3 linked regions of the Anolis sagrei genome follow. The protein of the gene in region 3 purifies or fractionates together with the protein of the main gene of each other region. This does not show direct contact. Links are inferred from orthologs where the notes say so. Each region holds a gene or a part of one and is shown on either strand. Other genes may lie near its edges. The genes, in order: SLF1, SMC5 and SLF2.

Region 1 (7,942 bases), on a different chromosome or scaffold from region 3:
TTCCACCCACATCGTGTGTTTTAATCAGTTTTGGCTATTTTTGGCCTTACTAACCTTGCATACCTTGTATCTTCTACCTTTTACGGAGCAATAAGGATCTTTGGACTGTATTAAAAATGTTGTTGTGTTATCGAACTACTCTTCATGATTTGCTAAAAAAAAGTTTCAACCCTCCCCGATTTTTTTTTTCTGGCTATGGCCCTACCCATGAGGTCTCTTCCAACTCTGTTTGTTGTTCATTCGTTCAGTCCTCTCTGACTCTTCGTAACCTCATGGACCAGCCCACGCCAGAGCTCCCTGTCGGCCGTCACCACCCCCTGCTCCTTCAAGGTCAGTCCAGTCACTTCAAGGATGCCATCCATCCATCTTGTCCTTGGTCGGCCCCTCTTCCTTTTGCCTTCCACTTTCCCCAGCATAATTGTCTTCTTAGGCTTTGCTGTCTCCTCATGATGTGGCCAAAGTACTTCAACTTTGTCTCTAGTATCCTTCCCTCCAATGAGCAGCCTGGCTTTATTTCCTGGAGGATGGACTGGTTGGATCTTCTCGCAGTCCAAGGCACTCTCTAAACTTTCCTCCAACACCACAGCTCAAAAGCATCGATCTTCCTTCGCTCAGCCTTTCCTAAGGTTCAGCTCTCACATCCGTAGGTTACTACAGGGAATACCATGGCTTTGACTAGGCGGATCTTTGTTGCCAGTCTGATGTCTCTACTCTTTACTATTTTATCGAGACTGGACATTGCTCTCCTCCCAAGAAGTAAGCGTTTCCTGATTTCCTGGCCGCAGTCTGCGTCTGCAGTAATCTTTGCACCTAGAAATACAAAGTCTGTCATGGCCTCCACATTTTCTCCCTCTATTTTCCAGTTGTCAATCATTCTTGTTGCCATAATCTTGGTTTTTTTAATGTTTATGTGGAGCATAATACAAGAAGGAGGGAGAACAGGAAATGTGGCAGCACCCTTAAATCTAACTTGATTTTATTTTAGCACGATCTTTTGTGAATACAAACCTATTCCTTCCGCTGTACTCAGGGCCGTAGCCAGAAAAAAAATTCGGGATGGGTTGAAATTTTTGGGGGAGGGAAGTTGAAAATTTTGCGGGGGGTGTATGTGTTGAAACCTGCCTTCTAGCTCACGCTGAAGCAAAGAGCACAACAGGGGCAGAGCAGCCTTCAATAGCCTGCAGCTCCGCCCCTGTCAACCATCTCCACCAAGTCTGGCCTCCTTAATGAGAGCATTCAACACACACACAACCAACTTGGTTGCTTCACTACATCGGCTATTCCTGCAAGTAATGACAGTGTGAATAAATTGTCAATATTTAAGGCCTTGCATGGTCTGGGGCCGATGTACCTGAGGGACCGCCTCACCCCCTACCAACCCCAGAGATCCGTCCGTTCTGAGGACCATGATCTATTGGAAATTCCCAGTGTCAAGACCTTGTGTCTAACAGCAACCAGACGCAGAGCCTTTACAGCAGTGGCACCATCACTCTGGAATACTCTGCCACCTGAAGTCCGTGCCTTGCGGGACTTATCAGCTTTCCGCAGGGCATGTAAGACATATCTGTTTCGACGGGACTTTGATCTCTGATATTGCTGTTTTTAAATTGTTTTAAATTGTTTTTCAATTGTGTTTGATTTTAGCCTGTTCTTGTAAGCCGCTCCGAACCCCAGGGGAGTGGCGGCATATAAGTTAGAATAACTTGGCCACAGTAGTCCACGCTCTGGTTACATCCCGTTTAGACTACTGCAACGCTCTCTACGTGGGGTTGCCTTTGAAGACAGCTCGGAAGCTCCAACTAGTCCAACGCTCGGCAGCCATGATTTTAACAGGAGCGGAGCGCAGGGAACATACAACCCCCCTGTTGTGCCAACTCCACTGGCTACCGATCTGCTACTGGGCTGAATTCAAAGTGCTGGCGTTGGCCTTTAAAGCCCTAAATGGTTCGGGCCCAAGCTACCTATCCGACCGCATCTCTGCCTATGAACCCACCAGGACTTTGAGATCTTCCAGGGAGACCCTGCTCTTGATCCCGCCTGCTTCTCAAGCTCGGCTGGCGGGGACGAGAGATAGGGCCTTCTTGGTGGTGGCTCATCGGCTGTGGAACGCCCTTCCTACGGACATTAGACTAGCACCATCTCTAATGGTATTCCGCAAAAAAGTGAAGACCTGGCTGTTTGAGCAGGCGTTCCAATAATTAGTGCAATGATTGGTTAATGAACATTGGAATGGAACAATGGATGACGAATCTGGAACATGTTTTTGATGACGAGACGACAGTGAATGGGTATTGTAGTAACTGTTTATTAATTGTGTAATGTGTTAGGTTGTTAACTGTTTCTATACTGTAGCACTGAATTTTTGCTGTTCGTATTTGTTGTGAACCGCTGTGAGTTGCCTTCGGGCTGAGAACAGCAGTATATAAGTAAGGTAAATAAATAAATAAGGTAAATAATAAATAAATATTGGCTTGAGATAGTGTTTGCAGTTCTGGAGGGACTCTTAATTTTTTTGCATCTCATAGACTTAGCATGCGGATTTGGTTAACCAGTTAAAATTCATGAGTAAACTGGGTTTTTAAAAAAAAAAAAAATCTGAAACATTTCGGGAGGGGGGGGGTTGAACCCCTAACCCCCCCCCCATCCCCCCCTCGCTACAGGCCTGGCTGTACTACAGAATAATATGGAAGCCAGGTTCTGTATATATAAGGGACGCTATTGTACTCTTCGTCTACACCAGGCATGGGCCAACTTGGGCCCTCTCTCCGGGTGTTTTGGACTTCATCTGCCACCATTCCGAACAGCCACAAGCCCTTTCCTTTTGCTCCATATCAATGAAAGGAGTGCCATGCTGCATCCCTGCTGTAGCGTAGCCCTAAGCCAGGCCAAGAGGCCCTCTCCCAAGCGCAACCCGAAAGCCAGCAAAACGCACATGCCCAGCTCCGCGCCTTTTACCTTCTTAGGAGGACCACCTCGCCCGGCTCTTCTCTCCCTCTCTCTCTCTTCCTCTCTCTCCCTTTCCCGCTTCCGCGTCCTCCTGGTTGGCGGGCTCGGGGAGATGAAGCCCCGCCCCCGGAAGTGGAGCCCAGGACTTCCGGCCCGTTGTCAGCGACGCCGGCCGGTCTCCGTGGCGCCCGAGTGAGAAGGGAGCGGGCGCGGCCTAGTGGGTAAGTGGCACCCGAGGGAGGAGGAACGGGGGACGCCAAGGGGAGACCTCAGCTTCCACCGCCATGGCTCCAGGCTGTACAGTCACGGGAGTTGTAGTTTGACAAGGCCTCCCGCCTTCTCTGCCCCAAAGTCTTGCCGCCTCACACAACTGCAACTCCCAGGAATCCCTGGCCTCGAGTGGGTGTTGATTCTCCAGCGCTGGAGCTTCTCTACGGGGGCTTACTATTATTATTATTATTATCATTATTATTTTACTGACACAAAAATAACAGTATGTCACAGCAAACGAGATCTATATGCTGGATTTCGTGTCACAAAATCACAAGTCAAATACTTCCCAAGCGGCTAGGACTGTGTGATGTATTATTATTATTATTATTATTATTATTATTATTCCTTCATTATTATTGTTGTTATTATTATTACTATTATTATTATTATTAGAAACACAATAAGATGAGTCCACAGCAAACAAGATCACTCTGCTGGCTGTTGTATTGGATCACATGTCGGACACCTCCCAAGTGTCTCGGACTGTGTGATGTATTATTATTATTATTATACCATTATTATTATTATTATTATTATTATTATTATTAGAAACACAATAAGATGAGTCCACATATCATGTCAGCTTTTCCAGTTGTTTCTCTTCAATCCTGCTGTCGCCTGGGATTGCGACATCAACGATTCATACTTTGTTTTTTAACAGGATTTTGAGGTCAGGAGTAGTGTGCTCCAAAACTCTGTCTGAATATGAAAGTCCCAGAGGAGTTTGATGTGTTCATTCTCTGTAACTTTTTCTGGCTTGTGATCCCACCAGTTTTTTGTCGCAGGCAGATGGTGTTTGTGGCACAGGTTGCAATGAATCATCTGAGCAACGGTGTTGTGCCTCTGCTTGTAGTCGGTCTGCACAATCTTCTTGCAGCAGCTGAGGATGTGATCTACTGTTTCATCTGCTTCCTTGCAGAGTCTACATTTGGGATCTGTCATAGACTTTTCAATCCTGGCTTTGATGGCATTTGTTCTAATGGTCGCTATTATTATTATTATTATTATTATTATTATTATTATTCTGTCGTGAAGCATTTACACCAAGCATGGGCAAACTTTCACCCTCTAGATGTTTTGGATTTCAACTCACACAATTTCACAATCTGCCCATTCCTGCTTGAGAATGAATGCTGTTTGACACCACTTTTAACTGCCATGGGTCAATACAATGGGAGTTGTAGTTTGGTGTGGCATGGTGTGGCAGAGAAAACTCAAGACTTTATTTATTTACTACATTTTTATCCCTGCTCTATCTCAACCCCAGAGGAGACTCAGAACCCTTCCACACAGCCATATAACCTAGAATATCTGCTTTGAACTGAGTTATCTTAGTCCACACTGTCCTATATCCCAGTTCAAAGCAGATAATGTTGAGTTTTATTCAGTTCTGTGGAAGGGGCTTCAGAGCAGCTTCCAAATTGGCAATATTCAGTGCCGCATTACAACATAAAACATACAAATACATTGTGCATTAAAATAATAAAAAAATCATAAAACAATGCATATAAATACATTAAATAATCTGGAATGACCTGGTCTACGAGTTTGGATCATGTGATTTTAATGTTTTTATTAGGTGTTTTCAATTTTTATACTTTGTGCTTGAATGTCCTATTATCTTACGGCAAATTTGTTGTATTGCATTTTATGCTTAGGCATATGCTGTTCGATTTATGATTTGGTTTATGTATGTAAGGCATTGAATTTTGCCATTATTTTTTGTAAACTGCTTTGAGTCCCCCCAGGGGTGAGAAAAGTGTTATATAAATACTGTAAATCTATATAAATAAAAATGTAATGTCCGTTTGTGGGATTAACATAACTCAAAAACCATTGGACAGATTGACACCAAATGTGGATACAACACACCTATCAGGCCAACAAGTGACCATCACTCATAAAAAGGCCTTTAAAGTTTCCTCCACCTAAATAGGATTTCACTTTTTTAATAATCAGAACTATATGTCGAGGGCGGGGGGGGGGGGGGGGGGGAATCAGGAATTTAGATGCTTAGGTGGGACAGGGGCAAAACAAGGTTGGGAGCCACTGCCCTAATAGGTAACATAAGGGGAACTAATGCAATAAGATATAACAGGACAAAACAATGTATATTGTTTTAAAGGTTTGTTTATGTACTATGTGATTGTTTACAATGTTTATATGTTGAGAGTGGTTGATTTTGTATTGTATTTTAAAATGTTGGAAACAACATTGGGTCTTCATTGTGGGAGAAAAGCAACATATAAATAAAGGTTATTATTATCATTATTATAACTGGCGTACTTTTTCAAATTTCCTGGGCATTCACTGCTACTCTCTTTGGAAGTCAGCTGAAGTTATTGTGGCCACTCAGTTGTTGCATTGTGTATTTTCAATTCCTGAGTAAATCCCATTGAGTTTAAAGGAGATTATGTCTAAGTATAGACTTGTGCTGAGAGCCATAAAGGGGACACAAAGCTGTGACTTCTCAGTGGTACTGCTCTACTAGTAGCAAAAGTGCTAATTATAGATCTTGTACAAGTCAAGTATCCCTTATCAGAAATGCTTGGATATTTTGGATCCCCTCATTGGAATACTTATACTTCCATATTTTTACATAATAATAAGTTGTTTTGTAGATAGGATTTAAGTCTAAAACACAAAATTAATGTGTGCTTCATGCACACATCGTGTAAGGTACAGTCATCTCTCTGTATCCACAGATTCAGTCATCCATGACTTGAAAGCAGCCCCCCCCCTTTTTTTGTTTTTGTTTTTGTAAAGCAAACCTTGATTTTACCATATTATATACAGGAAAGCATTTCATTACATGAATGTGTTTAATGGGACTTGAGCATACATGGGTTTGGGGGGTGGGGGCAAGGTGCATATCCACTCCAGTGGATATGAAGGACCCACTGCAATTTTATACTACATTTTTAGTAATACTGTGCATGAAATGAGGTGTGTTTATGTTGAATAATCAGAAAGCAAATGTGTCACTATGTCAGCTATCCATGTGGGGAATTTTGAATATTGGACTCAATTAATTGACACCTATGAAGATTGGTAGCACTGAATAAATATGGTTTCTGGTTGCTTGAGAGTTACTATTAAAATAGGCCTGATACTATATACAATATTATACGACACTATAAACTCAGTGTTGACATGATATTAATATTGAAATACAGTAATTAGAAACAAGGTAAGACAAAGGCAAACTTATTTTAAGGTAACACACTTTTACTTAATTATAAAAACAGCTTTGTGAATGCAGTATGCAATTTTAATTAAATGGCAGTCAAACTTTTGCTATTTGGGAGTTCTAGTTGCTTCCGTTAATTAACAGAGAGTCTACTGAGTTTGGGATTCCAGATAGGGAATGCTCAACTGTTTAACACTTTAGCCAGGTGACTGCTTCTTGGACTGCTCACAGGGATCCTTTTAGAAGAATCTAATGCTCCAAATGATGATGGTCTTGCTACTATATTTACTGCACTTATTATTGGCTTGGTTTGACAGAACAGTTCTGACTTGTGATTGTGGATGTGATGCAGTAAAAAAAACATGATTGTGCACACATGATGATACATGTTCTCTATTTTGGGGATGGAAAGTAGCACTGCAGTTCTTAGGGTTGGAGCCAAAGTTGAAGTACTTTGGCCACATCATAAGAAAACAGGAGAAGACAATGATGCTGGGGAAAATGGAAGGAAAATGAAAGAGGGGCCGGCGAATGGCAAAATGGATGGATGGTATCCTTGAAGTGGCTTGACTGTGAAGGAGCTGAGGATGGTGATGGCCGACAGGGAGCTCTGGTGTGGACTGGTCCATGAGGTCACAAAGAGTCGGAAGTGACTGAATGGATAAACAAAAGTGCTTACATGGTGATAAATATCAAAGATGACACCCAACAGTTTGTGGAAGAATTTTTGGAGGCTGTGGAGCAAATGCTCTTTGCCTATTCAAACACAGTAAATCATCAATCAACATAACTTGAGAAATAAAATTATTAACATAACAATTCACTGATTTCATTTAAAAAATAAACTTTCTATGATCTATGTATAATGTCTTTTTGTAAAAATAGTTAAACTTTCATCCTATGATAAAGTTCATTTTAGTTCTTCAGAGTCATGCTTCATTGCAGAATTCATACAGAACTAGACCTATAGAATAGGAAAGTTAATTTCAGGAGTTCTAAACAAATTCCGAAAGTTTTAGACAGTGGCCATATACAGTGGCCTCTCCACACCTATTGAATTTTGCATTTGGTATGTGTATGAAGGAGTAGTATGAAATTCTCTTATGAGAAACAAGTGTTTCTTTGCTTTGTGTTCATAAGAAAAAGAGGGATGGTGGTGGGCTGCTATAGCTGTCCACAGGCCACAGTAGAAGTCAGCCTAAAACGTTTGTTTCAGAATTTCCATAGTCAGAGAAGGATGCAAACAAAAAACCAGGTGCTCAAAAAAAGCATTCTTAATCACAATGCATGTTGTTGTTGTTTTAAATAGAGATGTGTGAGAGAAATTCAGGTGATGGAACAAGAGAAAATTTACGAAAGTTAATGTGTGGAAGCTTCTTGACATCACTAGCTGAAATCATATCTTAAAACTTCTGTTCCTGGTGGGCTGTGTGCCTTAGATAACATACTTCCTGGGAGAAACAATAATCTCTAATCTCAGAGTACTGTTATTTCAGAGCATGTGATGTCTCGGCCTGTTTATTTCTTAGTTGG
Region 2 (7,507 bases), on a different chromosome or scaffold from region 3:
CATCTCGGGACCCCAGGTTGAGAACCACTGGGTTTTGCGGTAATAGTATGAAAGCTGGGTCCAGAAGTTCTGAGTCTTATGCTCTTTCTGCTTCGCTCCTTCGGGAGCGCTGTTTGTGTAACGCAGAACGGAACACAAGATATTATAGAACAGGGGTCCTCAAACTAAGGCCCGGAGGCCGGAAACAGCCCTCCAAGGTCATTCACCCGGCCCTCGCTCAGGGTCAGCCTAAGCCTGAAATGACTTGAAAGCACACAACAACAACAACAACAACAACAACAACAGCAGCAGCAGCAACACCAATCCTATCTCATTAGTCAAAAGCAGGCCCACACTTCCCACTGAAAAACTAATAAGTTTATATTTGTTAAAATTGTTCTTCATTTTAATTATTGTATTGTTTTTAAGTGTTTTTCCCCACTACAAATAAGATATGTATAGTGTGCATAGGCGTTCATTTTCCTTCAAATTATAATCCAGCCCTCCAACAGTTTGATGGACAGTGACCTGGCCCTCTGTTTAAAAAGTTTGAGGACCCCTGTTATAGAAGGAATGTAAGAGTTCTTTAATGGTAAAACCCTAAGCCTTACCTGAACCCTTACCCTAAACCAGTGGTTCTCAACCTGGGGTCCCCAGATGTTTTTTGCCTTCAACTCCCTGAAGTCCTAACAGCTGGTAAACTGGCTGGGATTTCTGGGAGTTGTAGGCCAGAAACATCTGGGGACCCCAGGTTGAGAACCACTGCAAACCTTACCCTATTTGTTTATTTACAGCATTTATGTGCTGCCCTGCTCACCCCGAAGGGGACTCAAGAGCGGCTTACAAGGTATATATTACATACAATATATTATATTATTAGCATAGTACAATATCAGCATTAAACATTGCTATATTGCACCATACCACTATATCATAATATTATTAGTAATATTACAAGTAATGTAAATATATAATTATAATATATTATTATTATCATATTGCAGTACATTATAATATTATAAATGTATGTATACACAATATATTATATTATTAGAATATTATTAGAATATAATACCCTAAGCCTAACCCTTCACCCTAATCGTAACCCTAACACAAACCCTAAACCTTACCCTAACGAGGATGAGGGAGAGGGCCTTCTCTATGGTGGCCCCCCGACTCTGGAACTCACTCCCTAAAGATATCAGACAAGCCCGCACTTTGGCAGTCTTTAGGAAGAGCTTGAAAACGTGGCTGTTCTAGTGTGCCTTCCCTGAATAAAGGAAATAAGCCCCTGATCTGACCAATTTTCTACTATACATCCTCTGCACTTTATCCGTTGGATTGATCTCCCTACATCACCCTCTAAAACCCCCATGTTTAGACATACCCTACTCTGTACAAACCCAGTGTTTTTAATTTTTTTCTATTACATTTGGCCCTGCTATAGTGTTTTAAATCTTGTGTTATTGCTTATATGTTTATGTTTTTATATTGTTTTATTTGCTTGTTTGCTTTGTTGATGTACTGTTGTATTTGTATTTGATGGGCTTGGCCTCATGTAAGCCACCTCAAGTCCCTTTGGGGAGATGGTGGCGGGGTATAAATAAAGTTTTTTATTATTATTACTAGCTGTCCCCTGCCACACGTTGCTGTGGCCCAGTCTATTGATCTGGAAAATAAAGTAATTAGAAAGTGTTGGTTTCTAATATATGTAATTTCTTTATGCTTGTGGGTAAACAGTATTTCTGTTTCTATGTCAGTGTTGATGTGGAGAGTGTCTGGTTTGCCCACCCTGGAACATGCAACATATTGTCCTTCTTTAAGGGTCCCTTTCAAATTTATGATACTATATCTCTATGTGTGTGAATCAGATCTGTCTATCTATACCTATGGCTGGATGGCTCTTTGTCAGGAGGACTTTGATTACGTTTTCTTGACCTGATGAGGGGAATTGAATTGAATGGCCTTAAGTATTTTCTGTTGGTCATGGGAGTTCTGTGTGGGAAGTTTGCCCCGATTCTGTGGTTTGTGGAGTTCAGAACGCTCTTTGATTATAGGTATACTGTGAATCCCAGTGACTACAACTCCCAAATGTCAAGGTCTATTTCCCCCCAAACTCCATCTGTGTTCATATTTGGGCGTACTGAGTGTTTGTGCCAAGTTTGCTCCAGATCCATCATTGTTTGAGTCCACAGTTCTCTCTGGTTGTAGGTGAACTACAACTCCCAAACTCAAGATCAGTGCCCACCAAACCCTTCCAGTATTTTCTGTTGGTCAGGGGAGTTCTGTGTGCCAAGTATGGTTCAATTCCATCGTTGATGGAGTTTAGAATGCTCTTTGATTGTAGGTGAACTATAAATCCCAGCAACTACAACTCCCAAATGACAAAATCATAATTTTTGAGTGATGGTCACTCCTTGTGTTGTGAGACGTTTTGTTGCCAAATTTGGTGTGATTTCGTTCATTGGTTCTTTTGTTTTTAAGGTACTCACTATGTACAGAGCATTTTATATATATATAGATTATTATTATTATTATTATTATTACTACCCTAAGCCTAACCGGTGACCCAGCTATCATACTATCACCCAAACTATGACCCGGAGCTGAATTGTGTGTCTTGACTGGGGACTCCTTCTGCAGTGAGAGAACCCTCCGCCCTGTGCCAGGACCATCCAGCATCTCCACCCACTGAGCGCGCTCCTCCCTCTTTTATAGGAGCGCTGTCTCCATGGTAACCCAAAGCCCCGTGCCAAGTCCTCACCCCCCCCCCCCCCCCCCCCACTTACAGGAAGTTCTCCATAGATATCCGCAGGATAGCACCTTCTACAAAGCGCGACGCTCCTTCCCGCTGGGTACCAGCTTCCGGCTCTGCCACCTCCACGCTCCGCTGGCCCCTGCGGCGGCTGCCACTGCTCTCTCCGGCTTCGGCGCCCTTTGACTTGCGCTTGGCAGGAGTCGCCATCTTTACGGCTTCCCGCAACGGCACTTCTTGTTGCGAGGGTTGAGAAAAGCGGCAATGGAACGCCCATCGCCCATTGGCCGGCTCGGCAGAACGTCATGCGGAGGTCGTTTGTCATTGGCTGGGCTCAGAAATATGCCCCTCCCTTTAGAAAACAGTTAAAAACCTGAACTGGGTTCTGATTGGTCACGGAGGAGGAGCGCGGGAACACACAAAGGCGGTGTCACGCTGGGATTGGCTAGTGGCGCGTGCCGCCTTGTTCACGTGGTGCGGCTGGGGCTACTCGATACGCGGAAGAAACCCCAAGATTTTCCTTATGGCTCCTACACTATATGGAGAGGGGAAAACTACGATTCCCATGGTCCCTTGCGCCAGAAATCATTGCGAGTTAGGTTTTGGTGGCGCAGGGCTTACTGGGAAATGTAGTCACTGTAGCTATAGACCTTCAGGTTATGTTGAGCTGCAGATTCTAGAGCAGGCATGGGCAAACTTCGGCCCTCCAGGTGTTTGGACTTTAGGAATTGTGGGAGCTGAAGTCCAAAACACCTGGAGGACCAAGTTTGCCCATGCAGTGAAGAATCAATGCAGCTTGACAGATTAATGTAGTATCAATACAGTCTGACAGATCAACTGCCATGGTTCAATGCTCTAAAGAGTTGTAGCTTTTCCTTATGGCTCCTACACTATATGGAGAGGAGAAAACTACGATTCCCGTTGTCCTTTGCGCCAGAAATCATTACGAGTTAGGTTTTGGTAGCACAGGGCTTACTGGGAAATGTAGTCGTCGTGCCTATAGACCTTCAGTTTCACCTGCTGAGCTGCAGAGTCTATATCAGGCATGGGCAAACTTCAGCCCTCCAGGTGTCTTGGACTTCAACTCCCACAAATCTATTAAGGAGCAAGCTCAGAATTAAAGTATAATTAGGGTATGTGGTGTCAATTATCTATCACTGACATAAGGCAGAAGGAACAGATCTGCCACTCCTCCATTACTGTTACCTTTCAGCCTCCCTGTACCAATAACTTGGCTGTCTCAAACTCCCCTCTTTCTTGCTTCGTAGTAAAGATAAAGGTTTTCCCCTGACAGTCGTGTCCGACTCTGGTGGTTGGTGCTTTCTAGGCCGGTGTTGTCCGTAGACACCTCCAAGATCATGTGGCCAGCATGACTGCATGGAGTGCCGTTACCTTCCAGACGAAGCAGTACCTATTGATCTACTCACATTTGCATGTTTTTGAACTGCTAGGTTGGCAGAAGCTGGGGCTAACAGCAGAAGCTCACGCCGCTCCTCGGATTTGAACCTGTGACCAGGCCCGTAGCCAGGATTTCGTTTCGGGGGGGGGGGGGGGCTGAATTTTTTTTCAGGGGGATTTCGGGGGGGGCTGAGTTTCGGGGGGGGGCTGAGTCTGAGTGAAAGAGGGTCTAGCCTAGCAAACCTTTTGTATCATTACCCCAATACCCCCATGCATATGGGATATATTGAGCATGGTGATCAGATCATGATAGGAATAAACATAACAGTTTAAATAATGCACCAGTAAGGCCTTTTCACGAACCACCATGAAAATTTGGGGGGGGGGGGGCTGAAGCCCCCCGGAGCGCCCCCCCCCCCCCCCCCCCCCCGCTACATGCCTGCCTGTGACCTTTCGGTCAACAAGCTCAGCAGCTCAGCGGTTTAACACACTGCTCTACCAGGGGCTCCTTGCTTCATACAGTGATGGAAATACTGTGCCTTTCTACCTGCCCTCTGTTTAAAGCAATACTCTGTTTTGCATGTATTTTATAGAAGTGCACTTTAATATGTATCTTTTATGGAAACATATTTAAAATGTATTTTAATTTTTTTACAGTGTTTGTTTTTTTACTATGCTGTAACTCACCTAAAGCCACAAAGAGAGAATCATAGAATCACAAAGTTGGAAGAGACCTCGTGGCCCATGCCAAGAAGCCGGGGAGAGGTAAGAAATAAAATTATTATTATTATTATTATTATTATTATTATTATTATTATATTTTTCTAATTTTTTCTCCACCTACAATTTTTCTTTCTGGTCTTTTGTCTATCCTTTACTCTCAATTTTCTCCCTTGGTCAGTTCAATTCAGTCTTGAGTTCTCTGTCCATATTTTTCCCTCTTACGATTTATGCATTTTCCTTTCAACCCGCAGCACGCACCTTGACATCTTCAAATTCAATTGAATGGTGATTGCACATATTGCGCCATTTGCTTCCAGAAAGATGGTCTCCAGCACTGCCAGTCAAAAAAACATAATGATGTTTTTATACTGTCTTTATTAATTTTCTATGTGAAAAAGATAGACAAAATAAACATTTGGGATTATAACAAAAAATAAACAGTGGGAGAATCCAAGAGGTTTGTGGATGGAATACTTTAAAATCAGAGCCCCCTGCAAAAATTAATAAGGGATGAATGATCAAGGGTCTGGAGAACAAGCCCTATGAGGAGTGGCTTAAAGAGCTGAGCATGTTTAGCCTGAAGAAGAGAAAACAGAGAGGAGACATGATTGCCATGCATAAATATGTGAGAGGAAGCAAGCTGCTGCCCTGGAGACTAGGATGCGGAACAATGGCTTTAAACTACAAGAAAGGAGATTCCACCTGAACATTAGGAAGAACTTCCTGACTGTGAGAGCCGTTCAGCAGTGGAACTCTCTGCCCTGGAGTGTGGTGGAGGCTCCTTCTTTGGAGACTTTGAAACAGAGACTGGATGGCCATCTGTCAGGGATGCTTTGAATGTGATTTTCCTGCTTCTTGGCAGGGGTTGGACTGGATGGCCCATGAGATCTCTTCCAACTCTATGATTCTATGATTCCAGGTCAAGGTCTTAGTTGATCTAGAAGATAACCTTTGTATTTCCACCAGGTGGCAGCAGTGTATTCGAATTAGTTCCTGGTGACACTGTGTTTTCCAAATATACTCTTGCATGTCTTTAAGTTCTTTCCAATTTATGGAAGTCTAAGGCAACCGTATCATAGGGTTTTTGTGGCAAAGTCCAGAGGGGATTTGACTTTGCCTTCCTCTGAGGCTGGATCCACACTGCCACGTAATTCAGTTTCAGAATGCAGATTACCTGCTTAAAACTAGATTATATGAGTCTACACTGCCATAATCCAGTTCAATGCAGTAAATCTGCACTCAGAAACTGGCTTATATGGTAGTGTAGATGGGTCCTGAGAGAGTGGCTTACCCAAGGTCATCCTGTGAGTTTCCATGGCTGAGTGAGGATTTGAACCCTGATTCCATGCCGTTCAAACTACACCATGTTGGCTTTCTTTTACAAGTATTTTGCAAGACATTTAAGACTTCATTTAAAATATCCAGTTGCAAAAAAAAGATATCATGAGATGTACTGTCAATCCTCAGTGACTGGTATAGGGCATATACATTTATTTATTTATTTATTTATACGTGAACTTAAAGGAAATAATGTAATATTTTAAAGATGTATTTAGAAATTAGGGGTAATGACAAATGAGATAGAAGGATATTGCAAAGAAGAAAAAGAGATAAATTATTTATTTATCGTGTCATTAGCAACCATACCATTGTGTTACAATTCTAACAGAACAAAACAAACACACAGATTAAAAAGAAAAAGGGAAAAAAAACACAGATTTTGCAAACTTGGTAGTTGGTTAAATGTCCTTTGACCAGTATCTGGCCACTTGGAGTGCCTCTGGTGTTGCCACAAGAAGGTCCTCCATTGTGCATGTGGCAGGGCTCAGGTTGCATTGCAGCAGGTGGTCAGTGGTTTGTTCTTCTCCGCACTTGCATGCCGAGGATTCCACCCTGTAGCCTCATTTCTTAAGATTGGCTCTGCATCTCGTGGTGCCAGAGCGCAGTTTCTTCAGCGCCTTCCAAGTCGTCCAGTCTTCTGTGTGCCCAGGGGGGAGTCTATCATCTGATATCACCCATGGATTGAGGTGCTGGGTTTGGGCCTGCCACTTTTGGACTCTTGCTTGCTGGGGTGTTCCAGTGAGTGTCTCTGTAGAGCTAAGAAAACTATGTCTTGATTTAAGTCGTTGACGTGCTGGCTGATACCCAAACAGTGGATGAGCTGGAGATGTCTCTGCCTTGGTCCTTTCAATTTTGGCTGCTACTTCCCGGGGGATGTCAGGTGGTGCAATACCGGCTAAGCAGTGTAATTTCTCCAGTGGTGTGGGGCGCAGTCACCCTGTGATAATGCGGCATGTCTCATTAAGAGCCACATCTACTGTTTTAGTGTGGTGAGATGTGTTCCCCACTGGGCATGCATACTCAGCAGCAGAGTAGCATAGCGCAAGGGCAGATGTCTTCACTGTGTCTGGTTGTGATCCCCAGGTTGTGCCAGTCAGCTTTCGTATGATGTTGTTTCTAGCGCCCACTTTTTGCTTATTTATTATTTGCTTTATTTCTATACCGCATTTTTCAGCCTAATTCGGCGAAGTTTTGCTTGATGTTCAGGCAGTGCTTCTTGTAGGTCAGAGCACGGTCCAAAGTGACTCCCAGGTATTTGGGTGTGTTGCAATGCTCCAGTGAGATCCCTTCCCAGGTAATCCTCAGAGCTCG
Region 3 (7,409 bases):
GCAGATTGTTGTACCATCTATCTATATATATATAAAAATGCTCTGTGCATAATGACTACCATAAAAACAAAAGAACCAATGAATGAAATCACACCAAATTTGACAACAAAATGTGTCACAACACAAAGAGTGACCATCACTCAAAAAATTATGATTTTGTCATTTGGGAGTTGTAGTTGCTGGGATTTATAGTTCACCTACAATCAAAGAGCATTCTGAACTCCATCAACGATGGAATTGAACCAAACTTGGCACACAGAACTCCCATGACCAACAGAAAATACTGGAAGGTTTTGGTGGGCATTGACCTTGAGTTTGGGACTTGTAGTTCACCTACATCCAGAGAGCACCGTGGACTCAAACAATAATGGATCTGGACCAAACTTGGCACAAGCACTCGATACGTCCAAATATGAACACAGATGGAGTTTGGGGGAAATAGACCTTGACATTTGGGAGTTGTAGTCACTGGGATTCACAGTTCACCTACAATCAAAGAGCATGCTGAACCCCACAAACGACAGAATCGGGGCAAACTTCTCACACAGAACCCTCATGACCAACAGAAAATACTTAAGGCCATCCAATCCAACTCCCTTCATCAGGGCAAGAAAACGTAATCAAAGTCCTCCTGACGAAGAGCCATCCAGCCATAGATAGGTAGATAGATATGATTCACACACACACAGATATAGTATCAGAGATTTGAAAGAGACTCCTGAAGAAGGACAATGATATGTTGCATGTTCCAGGGTGGGCAAACCAGACACTCTCCACATCAACACTGACAAAGAAACAGCAAGAAATACTGTTTACCCACAAGCATAAAGAAATTACATATATTAGAAACCAACACTTTCTCATTACTTTATTTTCCAGATCAACAGACAGGGCCACAGCAATGCGTGGCAGGGGATGGCTAGTATTTAATAAAAAATAAGACATACCCTGAAAATGAGCCATAGTGTGTCTTGAGGAAAAATAAATACAAGACAGTGTCTTATTTTCAGGGAAACCATGATATAAAAAGTTAATAACAATTGGTGAAAATGTAAAGTTTTCCCCTGGCATTAAGTCCAGTCGTGTCTGATTCTGGAGGGTGGTGCTCATCTCAGTTTTTAAGCCAAAGAGCCAGCATTGTCAATAGACGCGTCAAGGTCATGTGGCCGGCATGACTGCATGGAGCACTTACATGTTTTCGAACTGGTAGGTTGGCAGAAGCTGGGGCTAGCAACAGGAGCTCACTCCACTCCCTGGATTCGAACCGCCAAACTTTCGGTCAGCAAGTTCAGCAGCTCAGTGGTGGCACAGTGAGTTAAACCCTTGTGTCAGCAGGACTGAAGACCGACAGGCCACAGGTTCAAATCCTGGGAGAACGCGGATGAGCTCCCTCTGTCAACTCCAGCTCCCCATGTTGGGACATGAGAGAAGCCTCCCACAAGGATGGTAAAACATCTTGGAGTCTCCTATGCAACATCCTTGCAGACGGCCAATTCTCTCACACCAGAAGCTACGTGCGGTTTCTCGGATCGCTCCTGGCACACACACAAAAAGCAGTTTAATCTGCTGCGCCACCGGGGGCTCTCAACAATAGGTAGATGCTGGATAAAGATAGTTTCCTGTTATTGTCGAAAGCTTTCATGGCTGGAATCACTGGGTTGTTGTAGGTTTTTTCGGGCTATATGGCCATGTTCTAGAGGCATTCTCTCCTGACGTTTCGCCTGCATCTATGGCAAGCATCCTCAGAGGTATGGCCATGTTCTAGAGGCATTCTCTTCTGACGTTTTGCCTGCATTTATGGCAAGCATCCTCAGAGGTACCTCACTACCTCTGAGGATGCAGGTGAAACGTCAGAAGAGAATGCCTCTAGAACATGGCCGTATAGCCCGAAAAAACCTACAACAAGCCATATTTATTTATTTATTTATTTAAAGTACTTCTACCCCACCCTTCTCAACCCCCGAGGGGGGACTCAGGGCGGCTTACAAAAAGGCACAATTCGATGCCTACACAAAATACACATAATGTACAAAACCATAGTTAAAACAATTATCACAGTTAAAACAGTCGGTATATAACACATCAATAAAACTAATCTCATGCTCAGCGTTCGTCTTTCAGAGTTCCATAATTCCATTCCATTAGTCAATTCCTGTCCATCGTCAAAGTCCTTTCTTTATCTGCCAGATTGTCCTAATGCCTGGTCCCAAATCCATGTTTTCAATTTTTTCCTAAAGGACAGGAGGCATGTCGCTGATCTAATTTCCCCGGGGAGTGAATTCCACAGGCGGGGGGCCACCACCGAGAAGCCCCTGCTCCTTGTCCCTGCCAACCTCACTTGTGATAGAGGCGGGGTCGAGAGCAGCGCCTCCCCAGAAGATCTTAGACTCCAAGGTGGGACGTAGAGGTTTCCTGTTGCTTGAGAGTTCCAGTTAACTGAGAGTCTACTGTGATTTGGCACGACTTTGAACCATGGAATTACAGCAGAGCTTCCTGGCAGAGAAGACTAACCTTTGCTTTGCGTGGCTGCATCAACAGCTGAGGTTTGTAATTTAGAATACACTTTGACACCACTTTTACTGCCATGGCTTAATGCTATGGAATAATGGGAGTTGTAGTTTCGGATGCTCTTCAGCCTTCTCTGCCAGAGAAAGCTGATCCCCAAACTACAGGCCCTAGGATCGCCTAGCAAGCTTCCCTGGCAGTTCAAAGTGGTACAAAAGTGAGGAAAGGCTGCCTAGATTGTGCAAACAAGGGCGTTGCATGGGAAACCACACCTCTTGTGTTTACCTGCCAGCCTTGCCTTCTCGGCCCGCCGTTCGGCAATGGCGCCCGGCGGTGCTCAGGGGAGAGCGGTCAGGGTCGCTGCCCTTTCCCCCCTCGCCGGCGCCGTTGCTAAGATTCTGCGTCATAGCCCCCGACGTCGCCGCCTTTTGAGGAAACCTCAGGGTTCCGGCTGAGAGGAAACGAAACCCCCGCGCCTTCCGCACTCCATCGCGCAAAGGAGCGGAGCAAAGGGCTTCGGAAGGAAGAAGGGCCGCTATTGGTTGCGCTCAGGGGAGGGCTTCTTTTCTATAGGCTGATGTCACCACTTGAGGCGGGAGTAGAAACAGAAGCGCTGTTCCTATTGGTTGTTGGCGCAGAGGCGGTTCAGAGCCTCCTGTCTTGTGACCTCAAGCCGTCCTGTTTTTCCCTCAGAAGAGGGAGGAAAGGGAATTGGCTTCAAAAGGCCGCTCCTTGGCGCCTTCGGCTCGCGTCGCTTCTGATTGGCTGGCTGGAAAGCGCGCGGAGGATGAGCCTTTTAAAAGCTGTTGGAATAACGGCTGAAGCAGGCACATCTGACTTGGAGTGTTAATGCAGTTTGACGCCACTTTAACTGCCAAGGCTCAATGAAAGGACCAAGGCAGAGACATCTCCAGCTCATCCCCTGTTTGGGTATCAGCCAGCACGTCAACCACTTAAATCTAGATTTTCTAAGATCTACAGAGACACTCGCTGGAACACCTCAGCAAGTGAGGTGTTCCAACTCAGTATGCATGCTGCTGAGTATGCATGCCCAGACACATCTCACCACACTAAAACAGTGGATGTGGCTCTTAATGAGACATGCCACATTATCACGGGGTGTCTGCGCCCTACACCACTGGAGAAATTACACAGTCTAGCTGGTATCGCACCACCTGACATGCGCCGGGAAGTGGCAGCCAATAGTGAAAGGACCAAGGCAGAGACATCTCCAGCTCATTCCCTGTTTGGGTATCAGCCAGCACCTCAATGACTTAAATCTAGAAATAGTTTTCTAAGATCTACAGAGACACTCGCTGGAACACCTCAGCAAGCAAGAGTCCAAAAATGGCAGGCTCAAACCCAGGACCTCAACCAATGGCTGATACCAAATGAGAGACTCCCCCCTGGGCACACAGAAGACTGGGCGACTTGGAAGGCACCAAACAGGCTGCACTCTGGCACCAGGAGATGCAGAGCCAACCTTCAGAAATGGGGCTACAAAGTGGAATCCTTGACATGCGAGTGTGGAGAGGAGCAAACCACTGACCACCTGCTGCAATGCAACCTGAGCCCTGCCACATGCACAATGGAGGACCTTCTTGCAGCAACACCAGAAGCACTCCAAGTGGCCAGCTACTGGTCAAAGGACATTTAATCAACTACCAAACTCACACATTTTGTATTTTGTCTGTTTGTTTGCTTTGTTCTGTTAGAAATGTAATATAATTTGACTGGTTGTCCTGACACGACAAATAAAAATGAGGTGGAATCCTGAGAATTGAACTGTGGTGTTGGAGAAAAGTTCTGAGAGTGCCTTGGACAGCAAGAAGATCCAACCAGTCCTTACTTCAGGAAATAAAGCCTGACTGCTCATTGGAGGGAAGAATAGTAGAGGCCAAGATGAAGTACTTTGGCCACATCATGAGAAGAAAGGAAAGCTTAGAGAAGACTGATGCTGGGGAAAATGGAAGGAAAAAGGAAGAGGGGCCGACCAAGGGCAAGATGGATGGATGGTGTCCTTGAAGTGACTAGCTTGACCTTGAAGGAGCTGGGGGTGGTGACGACCGACAGGAAGCTCTGGCGTGGACTGGCCCATGAAGTCACGAGGAGTCAGAAACCACTGAACGAATGAACAACAACAAGACACAACATTCTCTGGCAGGGAAGGCTACAGACATTGTAAAAAAACCTCAACTCCTGTTGTTTATTTATCGTGTCTCAGGAGCGAACCAAACAGTTGTATTTTTTCAAAAAACCACAAAGTTTGCAAACTTGGCATTCTATTAAATGTCCTTTGACCAGTAGCTGGCCACTTGGAGTGCCTCTGGTGTTGCTGCAAGAAGGTCCTCCATTGTGCATGTGGCAGGGCTCAGGTTACATTGTAGTAGGTGGTCTGTGGTTTGCTCTTCTCCACACTCGCATGTCGTGGACTCCACTTTATGGCCCCATTTCTTAAGGTTGGCTCTGCATCTCGTGGTGCCAGAGCGCCTTCCAAGTTGCCCAGTTTTTTGTGTGCCCAGGGGGGAGTCTCTCATTTGGTATCAGCCATTGATTGAGGTTCTGGGTTTGTGCCTGCCACTTTTGGACTCTTGCTTGCTGAGGTGTTCCAGCGAGTGTCTCTGTAGATCTTAGAAAACTATTTCTTGATTTAAGTCGTTGGCGTGCTGGCTGATATCCAAATGGGATGGGCCGGAGATATCAATGCTTTGGTCCTTTCACTACTGGTTGCTACTTCCCAGCAGATGTCAGGTGGTGCAATACCAGCTAAACACTGTAATTTCTCCAGTGGTGTAGGGCACAGACACCCTGTGATAATGCAGCATGTCTCATTAAGAGCCACATTTACTGTTTTATTATGGTGAGATGTGTTCCACACTGGGCATGCATACTCAGCAGCAGAGTAGCAAAGTGCAAGGGAGATGTCTTCACTGTATCTGATTGTGATCCCTAGGTTGTGCCAGTCAGCTGGAGACCATGAATCCATACAAGGAGCGGCTTAAAGAGTTGGACATGTTTAGCATCCAGAAGAGAAGTTCGAGAGGAGGCATGATAGCCATGTTTAAATATCTGAATGGATGTCACAAGAAAGAGGGAGCAGGCTTGTTTGCTGCTGCCCTGGAGACTGACTCAATGGAGCAATGGGTGCAAATTACAGGAAAGGATATTCAGCTGAAACATTAGGAAGAACTTCCTGACTATAAGAGCTGTTCAACAGTGAAATCCCTGCCTTGGAGTGTGGTGGAGGCTCCTTCTTTGGAGGCTTTTAAAAGAGGCTGGATGGCCATCTGTCAGGTGTGCTTTGATTGTTCTTTTCCTGCTTGGCAGGGGATTGGACTGGATGGCCCATGTGGTCTCTCCCAACTCTGTTTCTACATTTATATGGCCTCTTCCAATCCCAGTTATATATCCATGCTTTGTGAGGTTAGCTACCTAGTCTGTAACTGTTTCATTAGTCTCACTGATGTGGAGATATTGGAAATATAGATATTTATACATATATTTTATGTACATTAGAAACACTGAAATGTAGAAAAATCAAGTTCTCTGTATTAGGAAGTCAAGCTGACAGCACAGAAAGAATGCTGACGTAGATCTGTGTTGAAAGGGGAGGAAAAGGGGGGTCATTATCTATACATTCCAGAAACTGGTACAGCTTAGCACTGGCTGTACCTTCTTACTTCTAAAAAGTAAGAAGTGGTGCTGTTTCTCTCCCTCCTGTAAGGTCAAAAGAAGGCACCTTGATGGATCTGTAGCTGAACCCTAGTATCTCTAATTTGCTGTAAGCTGCTCCTTAGATAGAAAAAACTGAGATGCCCCATGCATGTAAAAAGATATAAATTGATATTTCTATGATGCTTAAGGTGATGTAGTGATGATGTTACATATGTAGAAGCACGTTTCTTTGTTTGCCTGCATTTGAAGATGTATGAAAGGGAAGTCAATGCCTTTATCCTCACTCAGGTTTGCTCTTGGAGGAGATTCCATACCAGGGTCTCAGCTGAAAATAAAAACGTACTTTTCTGCCTCTCAAAAGGATCGCTCTTGGTATTATCTCTCCTATCAGCCGCAACATTATCAGGATTCATAATCTAAATTTCCATCCACAACCTCCTTGTGACTTTGTTCTAAGAGTAGAATCATATTTTCAGGATTTTTCAAATAAGGTCCTTGATCCCTATGCACTTTGATATTAGAAAAAGGTAATATAACAATGTTTGCCTTCAAATATTAGTTAGGATAGGACACAGGAACCTATAAGAATTGGCAAGGAATAGGTGTTGGAGCCCCGGTGGTGCAGTGGGTTAAACCACTGAGCTGCTGAGCTTGTTGACTGAAAGGTCGTAGGTTTGAATCCGGGGAGCGGCGTGAGCTTCCGCTTTCAGCCCCAACTTCTGCCAATCTAGCAGTTTGAAAACATGCAAATGTGAGTAGATCAATAGGTACTGCTCCAGCGGGAAGGTAACGGCGCTCCACGCAGTCATGCTGGCCACATGATATTTGAGATGTCTATGGACAACGCTGGCTCTTCGACTTAGAAATGGAGGTGAGCACCACATCCCAGAGTCAGGCATGTCTGGACTTAATGTCAGGGGAAAACCATTACCTTTACCTTACCTTTACTTTACCAACTGGATTTTCAAAAGGACCTCTTGAATAAGCATTATTCTTATTAATTGCTGTGTGTTGAACTTCAAGTTATCACAACCTTATGAATGAGAGACATCCAAGTCATCCTGTTATCAACAGCTCTATTCTGGTATTCAGCACGCAAGAGCCAGAGTTTACTTGTTTTGTTGCATACTGAAAGTTGACAACTGGGCAACAGGGAAAGTGCTGAACAGGCTGCGCTCTGGCACCACAAGATGCAGAGCCATTCTTAAGAAATGGGCATACAAAGTGGA

What was found.
Region 1: the proteins of SLF2 (region 3) and SLF1 purify together in Homo sapiens (co-immunoprecipitation; 3 studies listed by BioGRID and IntAct, with this or other methods). This does not show direct contact. The link is inferred for Anolis sagrei from reciprocal best matches to the Homo sapiens genes SLF2 and SLF1.
Region 2: the proteins of SLF2 (region 3) and SMC5 purify together in Homo sapiens (affinity purification with mass spectrometry; 3 studies listed by BioGRID and IntAct, with this or other methods). This does not show direct contact. The link is inferred for Anolis sagrei from reciprocal best matches to the Homo sapiens genes SLF2 and SMC5.

What each region holds. Positions count from the first base shown.
Region 1 is NC_090022.1:253,906,413-253,914,354, forward strand, and holds the start of SLF1 (SMC5-SMC6 complex localization factor protein 1), read right to left. Parts: upstream 3,041-7,942; 5' UTR 2,956-3,040; intron 1-2,955. UniProt on the Homo sapiens protein: Plays a role in the DNA damage response (DDR) pathway by regulating postreplication repair of UV-damaged DNA and genomic stability maintenance.
Region 2 is NC_090022.1:222,264,614-222,272,120, reverse strand, and holds the start of SMC5 (structural maintenance of chromosomes protein 5), read right to left. Parts: upstream 3,007-7,507; 5' UTR 2,945-3,006; coding exon 2,769-2,944; intron 1-2,768. UniProt on the Homo sapiens protein: Core component of the SMC5-SMC6 complex, a complex involved in repair of DNA double-strand breaks by homologous recombination.
Region 3 is NC_090023.1:215,161,314-215,168,722, reverse strand, and holds the start of SLF2 (SMC5-SMC6 complex localization factor protein 2), read right to left. Parts: upstream 3,044-7,409; 5' UTR 2,913-3,043; coding exon 2,791-2,912; intron 1-2,790. UniProt on the Homo sapiens protein: Plays a role in the DNA damage response (DDR) pathway by regulating postreplication repair of UV-damaged DNA and genomic stability maintenance.